2 linked regions of the Drosophila melanogaster genome follow. Changing the gene in region 2 together with the main gene of any one other region gives a genetic interaction. Each region holds a gene or a part of one and is shown on either strand. Other genes may lie near its edges.

What was found.
Region 1: of okr (region 2) and c(2)M, changing one enhances a phenotype caused by changing the other (phenotypic enhancement), as found in Drosophila melanogaster (one study listed by BioGRID).

The regions. Positions count from the first base shown.
Region 1 is NT_033779.5:16,301,249-16,306,440, forward strand, and holds c(2)M (crossover suppressor on 2 of manheim), read left to right. Parts: upstream 1-2,015; 5' UTR 2,016-2,103; coding exon 2,104-2,234; intron 2,235-2,313; coding exon 2,314-2,477; intron 2,478-2,533; coding exon 2,534-2,814; intron 2,815-2,873; coding exon 2,874-3,057; intron 3,058-3,111; coding exon 3,112-3,496; intron 3,497-3,548; coding exon 3,549-3,856; intron 3,857-3,914; coding exon 3,915-4,049; intron 4,050-4,106; coding exon 4,107-4,231; 3' UTR 4,232-4,692; downstream 4,693-5,192. Other genes in the region: CG17328 (uncharacterized protein), read left to right, coding at 1-360; GMF (glia maturation factor), read right to left, coding at 829-957, 1,013-1,203, 1,270-1,363, 1,523-1,525; CG5861 (uncharacterized protein), read right to left, coding at 4,711-5,072.
Region 2 is NT_033779.5:2,988,787-2,994,366, reverse strand, and holds okr (okra), read left to right. Parts: upstream 1-1,607; 5' UTR 1,608-1,657; coding exon 1,658-1,660; intron 1,661-1,717; coding exon 1,718-3,032; intron 3,033-3,088; coding exon 3,089-3,242; intron 3,243-3,300; coding exon 3,301-3,706; intron 3,707-3,767; coding exon 3,768-3,931; intron 3,932-3,987; coding exon 3,988-4,300; 3' UTR 4,301-4,773; downstream 4,774-5,580. Other genes in the region: CG3558 (uncharacterized protein), read right to left, coding at 1-632; Bem46, read right to left, coding at 4,856-4,970, 5,030-5,208, 5,286-5,580.

The sequences.
Region 1 (5,192 bases), about 13 Mb from region 2:
GATGATGATGATGAGGCTATAGACACGGATCCCGTGGGTCTGGACACCCTCGATCACGCCCACTTCAAGTGTCCGGATTGCGACAAGGCATTTGATACGGCGGACAGCCTAAGTCTACATTTTCGCACGCATGCGGCGAATAATAATCTACTGAATTTGCCGTTGCCTCCTGCACCACCTATGTCGCATCACTACCATCACGATGCACTGCATCATCTCGGCCCACCGAATCCCGCCACACAAATGGGAATGGCTGCAATGGCTCACATGTTGGCACCGCCGCCGCCTCCACCGCCAACGCCAAGTGAAGGACGTTACACTATGCTGCACCACACGGCGGCACAAAGACTACATTATTAGAGTATAGCTACGAAGATTTATCTTAATCATAATTATTGTTTTAGATTATGTTTTGATATTGAACACTTTTATTTAGTTTGTCTATATAAAATGGAATATTTTGTCATGTTTGCTTTTATATCTTTACAATAAATACATGTAGAAATTTGGCAAGCACAGCTTCTATTAAGATTATTACTTAAATGCAAGAACTAAAATCACTAAAAACTCCCCGCGCGTACTTGTCGCATACTTGTCGTCGATATAAAAATGTCATTGTTGTATAAACTAAGCTTGATTTGTGTTTTCTGTAGGTAAAAATTGTAGTATCTCAATATTGGTTTGTTTGGTATTGGTATGCATCGTTGGTATCGGCTTAATCCAGTTTGAATATGTATATAAAAAGCTCAAAAATCAATCAGAGAACTATCATAAAATATTGCTTTTGACAACGGCCCGGATTGATTGATCCCAGAGATCGAAACCTCTCTACTTGAGCTTGGCTTTCAGCCACTCCTCGGTGAGTTCGTCTAGTTCGCGTATCTCGTAGACGCGTGTGAGATCTACTTCGCGCTGAAGAGCGCTCTTCGTGCAGGCGTACATCATCTGCAATTCGATCTGAAACAGAGAGTTATGAATTATAGAATATATTTGAGCATTGCTAAACTCCCACCTGGCTATCCCTGGGTGTGTAGAATATGAAGCACATTGGGTACGAAATGCGCTGATCGTCATGGACCATTTTATACGTATAGATGACATATCGGGGCTGGTGTCCTGGCAATGTATCCTGCAGCTCGTCCACCGAAATATCGTCGATGAACTCGTCCAGCACCACCGTTTGCTTCTCCCGGTCGACTTTCACTGCAAGGGACAATGGAGTGGTCATAAAAACTACACACATCTGTTACCATGACAATCAAGGCTTACATATCAAAGCCGCATTATTTTTGCTCTTGCTGAATCGAAACTTCTTCAATTCCTCCAGAACTTCGTTGCTTATGTCGCATATCTGGTTATCACTCTGTATGAAATCGATATAATTGATTAATGAATTGGAATCACCAAAGTTATCTGCTAACAACAATCGTCGATTGAAAAACAAAAACAAAAACACGCCCACACTCTATTAGTCATGTTTTCATTTTGGTAATTGATTTCCGACCCTATATACACTTCCTACCATAACTTTAGCTATGAAGTTAGGGATGCGATCTGTAAAGTGTGCTGCACTACCGAATTTTTGGCAGTTAATTGTAGGAATGCAATATCACTTGTCCTTAAGGAATCGTTTAAATACTGTCGTTTATTCTGAGTTTTGTTTTGTTGTTCCTGCAGTGAGACCGTTCACTGAACGCCAAATAATATTCTGTGCTGCATCAAAAATATGTGAAGTGTTGTTAAACGACGTTTCTGATAAATTAAAAAATAATAACAATATTTGCTAAAGGTTTTTTTTTCATTAAGCTTTTTTCTTTACGGCAACATTGGTATTATTTATGGAATTTATTAAAAATAATTGAAATGTATTTTTTAGATTGAAATAGGAACGCTCTTTTTTAAAAATGTTTTGTAGATATACTTAAAACTTATCATTATTTTATAGTAGGTAAAAATCGTTCGTATACGATATTTGGATCATGTTTGTCCTCTCTAGTGGCTGATGGACTGTCAAAAAAGTACCGTTACTTTAGGGTTGTTACAGAGAGCACTAACTTATAAATAGTTAATACTATAATCTATGTGCTTAATGTCGTAGTTACAATGAGCTTGAATTTATATGAGAGCAACATCCTTAATTCCTGCTGGAAAGCGGGAGGGCGCAAACCGAGGAAATCGGCATTTGGCCAACTTAATCGAAATGAGATCGCTGATGTGGATGTAGTCGCCTGCTGGTAATTAAATATTAAATATAATGAATTTTTTTAACATTTCATTATATTCAATTGTTTTCAACATTTATCTACATTTCAGCAAGCAAATCACCGAATTAATTGAGGAAAATGCATTAAGAAAACGCCAGAAACGATCCAATGTTTTGGCCGCAAGAAACCGGCAAAATGTTATTTTCAAGGACATTTCCCGCTTGGTTTTTGGAGTTGCGGATATTTTTAGATGCCAAGTGGATCTACTTTTGGGTAAGTATTAGTCCGAATATTACGTAACATTGATATATAATCACGAATTCTTACAGGGGACACGAAGGTATTACTTGACCAATGTACACGTACCAACTTGGATTACGTTCTCACCACAACAAAATCCGTAGTGGTCAACAAATCAGAGATTCGAATCCAACGCAAAGGAAAGCGGGTGATCACCAAGAAATCTAAAGTAACAGTATCAAAACGTCCCAGACTGCAGGAATCGGATCTATTGGATGAATTCTCACATGAATACTACGAGAAGATGCTATCCGAATGCCAGATGTGGCAAACGGAGTGCACACAACAGGTGGTGGAGGACCTGAACGAGGTTAGTCGTCAATATACTGTTGGACTGCTTCCTTATATGATTTCATTTTTCGCAAAAAGTCTATTGAACAACCCCGGAGTTGCACTCAGTCAAAGTCGTATCATTCCATTACAATCACCGAAGAGATTGAACTTCCCGAAGATCATAGCTTAATTATGCCATCAAATGGTTTTGGCGAAGCCGAGGGCGCGGACTTAACCATTTTTCAAGAGCTTTACCCCAAAGATGGCACACGGAACTCACGTAAGAATTCTCAATTCAATTGAAAATGTAATAAACTATTTTTTTGTATTATAGTAAAGCGACACTCAATAGCTCAGGATCCAACTGACATCTTACCGGATAAAATGCCCAGATTGGATGATTGCGATGTTTTCCAAGCTGACAATGCTATCATGACCCAAATCTTTCCGCATAACATTGAACCAGCTGAAGTAACTCAGATAGTTTGTGAACCGTCGTTGCCATCCGTTTTAAATTCTTTTGGAGAAATAACATTTAGCCACCCGAAAAATCGGAAAAGAAAGCTAATAGTAGACAAACGAATTGAATACACCCGGGAGCAGCTGGTGAAGCATAGACAGAAATATATGGAAGAATACCTTTCAAGGAATGTGATAGTGCCAAAATCCTCGGATTTACGGAAACCCCCTAAGGAACTTCTCTGTAAACTGTATAATAAGTAGGAGCCTTATACATTTTGCTATTTAAAACTTTTTAATTTTTTGATGTAGTGTAAGTTTTTTAGCTCTTCATAACCACTCCGGACCTAAGCTCAGTAATGAAGAAAAGGAATTCGAGGCAGAAAACACATTGAGAACCATATTTGGCTGCGAGTTTACCGAGAATCTTTCTAAAGAGATATTTGTGCGACCATCGCAGGCTACAAAATGTAGGGATAAAGCGGCACATATCTATCAGCCCGAACCGCTTGAAGTGGAAGACTGTGTGCAACCTCAACTTCAGCCACGTGATGATGTAAATCAGAATTATCATAATGAAATGAATGAGCACGGCATATACCGTGAGGATAATCATGATGGTGAGTTCAGCCAATGTTTACAACATGCTATCGTAAATAAAATATAATCTCATTGCAGATACCTACAGCGTAATGATGAGTCTCTTAAGCATTTGGCGTAATAATCCGAAAATCACGGGAATCGATGCCATTGATTTTATAAAAACGTTTGATAGTCGCATCAAGGCTTCGTTAGCCTTTCTCCATTTGTTGTGTGAGTTCGAAAAAGAACAAAATGTGTGTTGGAAATAACGTATAGCTTAAATTTCAGATCTTGTTCGAGACCATTTTATAGAGATATCAAAGCGAGCTAATTCGCTGGAAATGTACCAAATTACTCTTGGCAAAGAGTCCGCTAAGCTAATAGACAATCTTATGCTGAGTGAGACTCTGTGAATATTTTTAGATAATTTTTTTCAAGATTACCAAACAACTTTGTAGTTGACAATCTTCCACATTTTTGTTGTTGTTTTGTTTTCTGTTATTGCTATTGTGTTATAACATATAAGTTGAGCCAATCTCTAACCTAGATGGCTTTAATCTACTCTTTTTCCATACAATCTTATGGTACAATTGAGCAACGATGTCCTGGATAATTCGTTTCATTTCAAGAATTGAAAAATTCTATAGATGTTACTTGTTGCTGTCTATAAAAATAGTTTTTTTTTCATTATCATATTAGTTTCGTGTACCCATTAAAAGTTGTTTGTTATCTTTGTTACTATTACGTTATCGTAGCTATAATTCATTAACATTTGGAGTAATTCTCTAAACCGTAATTGTTGTCTTTGTTACAAAATCTCAATTTCTCTGACAACACCAAAAAATAAACAAGTTACAAAAACAAAGGAATACAGAGTGTTTGGCACAATTGCTTAAATTCCGATCTGCTGGGCCAGACCCGAATAGATGTGCAGCGTGCAGAATCCAATGACGGCCGCCACCAGCGCTTTAACAGCCACCGTTAGCCAAGGTCCAATGGTCAGAATGTGGAGCATGCCCTCCAGCCAGACGCCTTTGAAGACAGTCACCGCCAGAAGTAGACTAACCAGCGGCTTTAATGCCTTGTTCAAATCGTGACGGGTGAAGAGCCAGATCAGGGTGGCCGTAGTGATGTGCTGCACCAGAAGCACGTTCGATTCCAGACACTTGAGGATGTAGATCCAACTGAACTCGGTGCCTCGGGCACCCACCCACAGCATGATACCTCGGGAAAGAATCACTTCGGCGGTGGCCCCTGCGGAAGTATACGAAAATATTTAGTTTTTACTAAATTTTTGGAAGTTGTCATACATATATGGGTTGGGGTATTAAAGGTTGAGTAGGCATTGGCTCTTGTAACATTAATATATCTGAA
Region 2 (5,580 bases):
AATATCTGCTCCTGCACCTGCGTCTGGGCGGAGAAGAAAAAGAGGTCCAGCAGGTGGACATTCTGCATAAGAACCACGCACAGCTGGTTCAGCAGGATCACCAGGCGCTTCTCGAGATCGGGCGGAAAGATCTCGCCCTGGCTGGATGCCAGTATCTTGAGCAGGGGTCGCAGGAAGGGCTCGTGGCAGAGCAGCTGGTGGCGCGAGTGGCTGACGAGCAGTTCGTACAGCTTCAGCTGCTCCAGCCTCACAGCGTTGGCATACCGTCCCGTGGTGCAGGCCCACTCGTACAGCTTGTCCAGCAGATTCTCGCTGAGCAGGAATTCCAGGCAGGGCGCCGCAGGCGGACCACTAGCCTCGGCCGCCGGCAGCGAGACTTTGTTGCAGTGATGCAGCTCCACGAGCAGCAGGGTGACCATGTAGTCCAAGTGCGAGACCACGCCCAGCACGTCGTCGTGCGAGGGCGGTGCACTGTGCTGGATGATCTCGAAGGCCTGCTGCCAGTGCTTACAGAAGCTGTCGTAGCAAGCGCGCGGATCGCAGTCTGTGGCAGCGTCGATGGGTCGCTGTCGCAGTGGGCCGACGTGTCCGACGGAGGCAACGCCTCCACCGCTGCTCTGGCGCAGCCACATCGTTGTCGGTGCGGTGTGTGTGCGATTCGGTGGCTTTTAGTGGCGCTGGTCCGCTGATAACTGCTCCGTGTGCGTTTCGTTTGGCATGAATTGGTGGTGCTGGTGCTCTGTTATCTCTCGTTTTGTGCTTTTGTCCGACTGTGTGAGTGGTGAGTATTTCAATGTTGCTCGCTTTTTAAATATTTAGAAGCTAAAAGAAGACGCACTTTAGTTGAATATTCGCTATTTACTTTTCTCTAATGTTCCCAAGAACAACAAGTGACACACTTACGCACACAGCCACACACACACCTGTGTACGTGTGCCCACCTATTTGGGCACTCACTGTGGTTGTTGTTGCTGCTGCTGCTCGCTCACCTGATGAATTTAGATTTGATCATCGTCATCGTCTCCGCTGCTTTCCGCTCTCCGTGCATCGTGCATCTACACCCATTACTGTTTAGTGGCCCTTCTTAGATGGGTTTTCACGCTTGCAGCATTTGCAGCGTTTTTTTTTTTGGCACTTTGGCAATTACAATTACAAATACAATTAAGTGGTAGTACCAACACTTCCGCAGATTTGCGGACTAGATTTGCGTTCTTGCAGCACGAAATTCGCGCTTTTGGCGCGGGTTTTGAAGTCAAGAAAGGGAAGGCAGTCCGGCCCGCACTTTATTGCCTCATTTTGCACTATTTTCGTAGTGTTTCCAAAGCAATTCTGCGTAAATATTTACAATTATATCTGCACGGAAATAGAAAGTTAGCGATGAGCAGCTATCAATATAACATATCGATGTTTCGATTATACCTGAGATACATCGGGAATTTTTGACATCGGGGTGTAGCAATTCCATTTTAGTTTTATTTTTATCTAATTATCTATTCACTTTTAAAACAGCGTGCTATGATCACAAGTATTAGTTTGATTAAATGCGTTCTGTTTCATTATCCCAGCGTTCCACTTACCAGTATTTCTTATCGCCTGTGTGACCAGACTTCCGCGCTTCTATCAGCTGTTCGCGCTACCGCCATTTGAATTTAATGAAATGGTAAATACAAAAATTTGATTTATTTAATTCCATTTCCCTAATCATTTATTCCTAAAGCGGCGCAGTCTGGCTCCCAGCCAACGTGGACCACTGCGTCCCGAGTCCCGTCACTCCTTCACGCCGCCACTGCTGAAGAAAAACAAGCGATCCTGCCAGCAGGAACTGGAGCGAGAGCAAGAACTGGACAGAAGACGACTGGGCGCCCTCCGAGATGCCAGCAACACATCAGAGCTCCCACTGCCTATTCGCTTCACGGCGAACAGCGAGTATGAGTTGGCCATTGCCAAGGTTCTGGCACGGAAGTTCAAGGTGCCCATGGACAATTACGTACCGGATTACGGTGGTAAACGGGTCCTGGGCGTGCGGCGCTGCATTTCCCGACGACCCCTACACGATCCGATGGCCTGCAACGCCTTGGTACTCTTCCATCCACCCGCCTACACAGAACACGAGCGCATGGGCATGGATCCGACCAAGGTTCTGGTGCACGTCGTCGTCGATCCGCTGCTGAGCAACATATTGCGGCCGCACCAGCGCGAGGGAGTGCGTTTCATGTACGAGTGTGTGGAGGGAAAGCGGGGCAACTTCAATGGATGCATCATGGCCGACGAAATGGGTCTCGGGAAGACGCTGCAGTGCGTAACGCTGGTCTGGACACTTCTAAGGCAGGGGCCCGAGTGCAAGCCGACGATCAACAAAGCCATTGTCGTGTCTCCATCATCGCTGGTTAAGAACTGGGAGAAGGAGTTTACCAAGTGGCTTCACGGTCGACTCCTTTGCCTGCCCATGGAGGGCGGGACCAAGGAGAACACCATCCGAGCACTCGAGCAGTTCTCCATGACTTCTGCCCGGCTGGGGACACCTGTTCTGCTCATCAGCTACGAGACATTTCGCATCTACGCGGAGATCCTGTGCAAGTACGAGGTGGGAATGGTGATATGCGACGAGGGACATCGCCTCAAGAACAGCGACAATCTGACGTATCAGGCTCTCATGGGACTGAAGACAAAGCGACGGGTCTTGCTTTCCGGCACTCCCATCCAGAACGATCTTACTGAGTACTACAGCCTGGTGAACTTTGTAAACCCGGAGATGCTGGGAACGGCGGCCGTGTTTAAGCGCAACTTCGAGAGCGCTATTCTGCGGGGCCAGAATACTGACTCCACGGAACAGGAGCGACAACGGGCCATAGAGAAGACACAGGAGCTGATAGGTCTGGTCGATCAGTGCATCATTCGTCGCACTAATCAAATTCTAACCAAATATCTGCCGGTTAAGTTTGAAATGGTTATCTGTGCGAAACTGACGGCGATTCAACTCGAGCTATACACGAATTTCTTGAAGTCTGATCAAGTTCGACGTAGTTTGGCGGGTAAGTCATTAGGCAATACTACCACAACATTCCTACCATTTACAATTCCCTTCAAGATTGCAATGAAAAGGCTTCGCTTACGGCGCTGGCAGACATTACAACGCTTAAGAAGATTTGCAGTCATCCGGATCTCATATATGAGAAGCTCACTGCGCGGGAAAAGGGATTCGAAAACTCCCAAAATGTGCTGCCTAGTAATTACAAACCAAAGTACGTCGCCTGTTGCGCGCGAATAGCAATGGCTATTAATGAATCTTTTGTGTTCCAGGGATCTCAATCCAGAGCTAAGTGGCAAGTTCATGCTCCTGGATTTCATGCTGGCAGCAATACGTGCAGAGGGCAACGACAAGGTGGTTCTCATTTCCAATTACACACAGACCCTGGACTTGTTCGAGCAGCTCGCGAGGAAGCGAAAGTACGGATTTGTCCGGCTTGATGGCACCATGTCCATCAAGAAGCGATCGAAGGTTGTTGACCGATTCAATGACCCGGAGTCTGACAGCTTCCTTTTCATGCTGAGCAGCAAGGCTGGCGGCTGCGGCTTGAATTTGATTGGAGCCAACCGCCTGTTCATGTTTGACCCAGACTGGAATCCGGCCAACGATGAGCAGGCAATGGCCAGAGTGTGGCGTGACGGGCAAAAGAAGCCCTGTTACATATATCGCCTCGTTGCCGTGAGTACCTGAATTGGTTCTGCACGGAACTTTCTTTTTCAACTCAAGAAATCTCTTTCAGAGTGGTTCCATCGAGGAGAAGATCCTGCAGCGACAGACGCACAAAAAATCCCTGTCGAGCACCATCATTGACAACAACGAGTCGGCCGAGAAGCATTTCACCCGCGACGATCTGAAGGACTTGTTTACATTTGATGCGAACATTCTGTCCGACACACACGACAAGTAAGAACTGGCTTTGGATACCCTTTAGATCATGATCGTGTAACATATCTTTTCAGGCTCAAGTGTAAGCGCTGCGTTCAAAATATACAAATGAAGCCACCGCCCGAGGACACGGACTGCACCTCGCATTTGTCACAATGGTACCATTGCTCCAACAACAGAGGCCTGCCTGACAATATTCTCGCCCAGGCCTGGATGGATTGCAAGTGCGTGTCCTTTGTCTTCCACCACCGATCGCAGGCTCAGGAAATTGTGCCGAGTGCTGAGGAGGAAGCAACAGATCAGCCAGAGGAAAAACCAGAAAGCCGCAAACGATCATCCACGCCCGCCAGTGATGACAGTGCCGATGAGGACTTCCGTGGATTCTAGCAATTGTTTGCAGTTTATTGTTTCTCGAATTTCCTTTTTCTTCGCACTTAAGTCTAAACTTAAGATAACTTTTTCTGGCTTCCTTTGCAATCCTAACAAGTTATTAATTTAACATTTCAAAAATGGAACCAGCACAAAATGTTAACGTGCTAGGGGTGAAGGCTTCTATAAACTAATCTGGCAATGTAGGAGTCAGTCCAGAAAATAGTTTACTTTTTTGTGAAATACTGATCAATTTCTATACTCTTAACTGGCCGCCAATCGGGCAAAGTAGTAGGTTAACATAGCTTAGGACAAATACAAGCAAACATCGAAATTCGGATTCTAGTGTGTATTCACTTGCTTAAGCGCAAAGTTATTTAAGTTGGTTACTTAAAATCAACAGCCATCTCCGCTAGCACGTTATTCTCTGCACATAAAAAGCAATTTGGCGTATAGCAACGTCCGGATTAAAACCCTGTCAGATACAGATTAATATTATGCGTGTGTATATGTATAAGTATTAAACCATTCGCAGTGTTAACACAGTCAATTGAACACTTGATGTATTCGGGTCTATACATCAATAATTTTATGCTCCAGCTCCACCCAGACGTTGCTCTTCTCCGGCGCCTTGAGGAGCGGCTGTTGCTGCAGCTCGGCCAAAAACCCACCGATGGCCTGATAGTACCTAAAAAGCAAGCACACCCATGGATAAATGGGAAAGTGAAGATTAATTGCCGGCCATACCCGTCCACTATCCAAGTGTCGTTGTGCGATCCGCCGGGGAATTCGAGCAGGCGCTTTATCTCGCTGCCGCATTTGGTATACAAGGCACGCATCATGCGCGGTGGCACTAAGTTGTCCGCAAGGCCCGAAATAAACAAAAAGGGAACCGAACACTTGCCTATCTTGCTCATGGAGTGATACTGCATGTGAAACAACAAACAATAATGTGGTAATGAGATAAAGTAAACAGAGGGCTCAACCGGCGACGACTACCCACCTTATTCTTAAATAATAGATTTGGTATATACTTCACAGCGGGATGCACCAGCTCCACGGCCATTTCCGGTATGCTGCTAAAAGTGTTCTCCACAATAGCGCACATTAGCTTCTGTCCATATACGGTATCGGCTGCAACGTCGACCACCACAGCTCCGCCCAGGGAGCGTCCGAAAAGTATCAGTTGCGAGTGGTCCAGGTCGTGGCGGGTGTGCAGGTAGTCAATGGCCGCTCTGGCGTCGGTGACCAGACCCCGCTCGGTGGGTACACCGGTGGATAGGCCATATCCGCGGTAT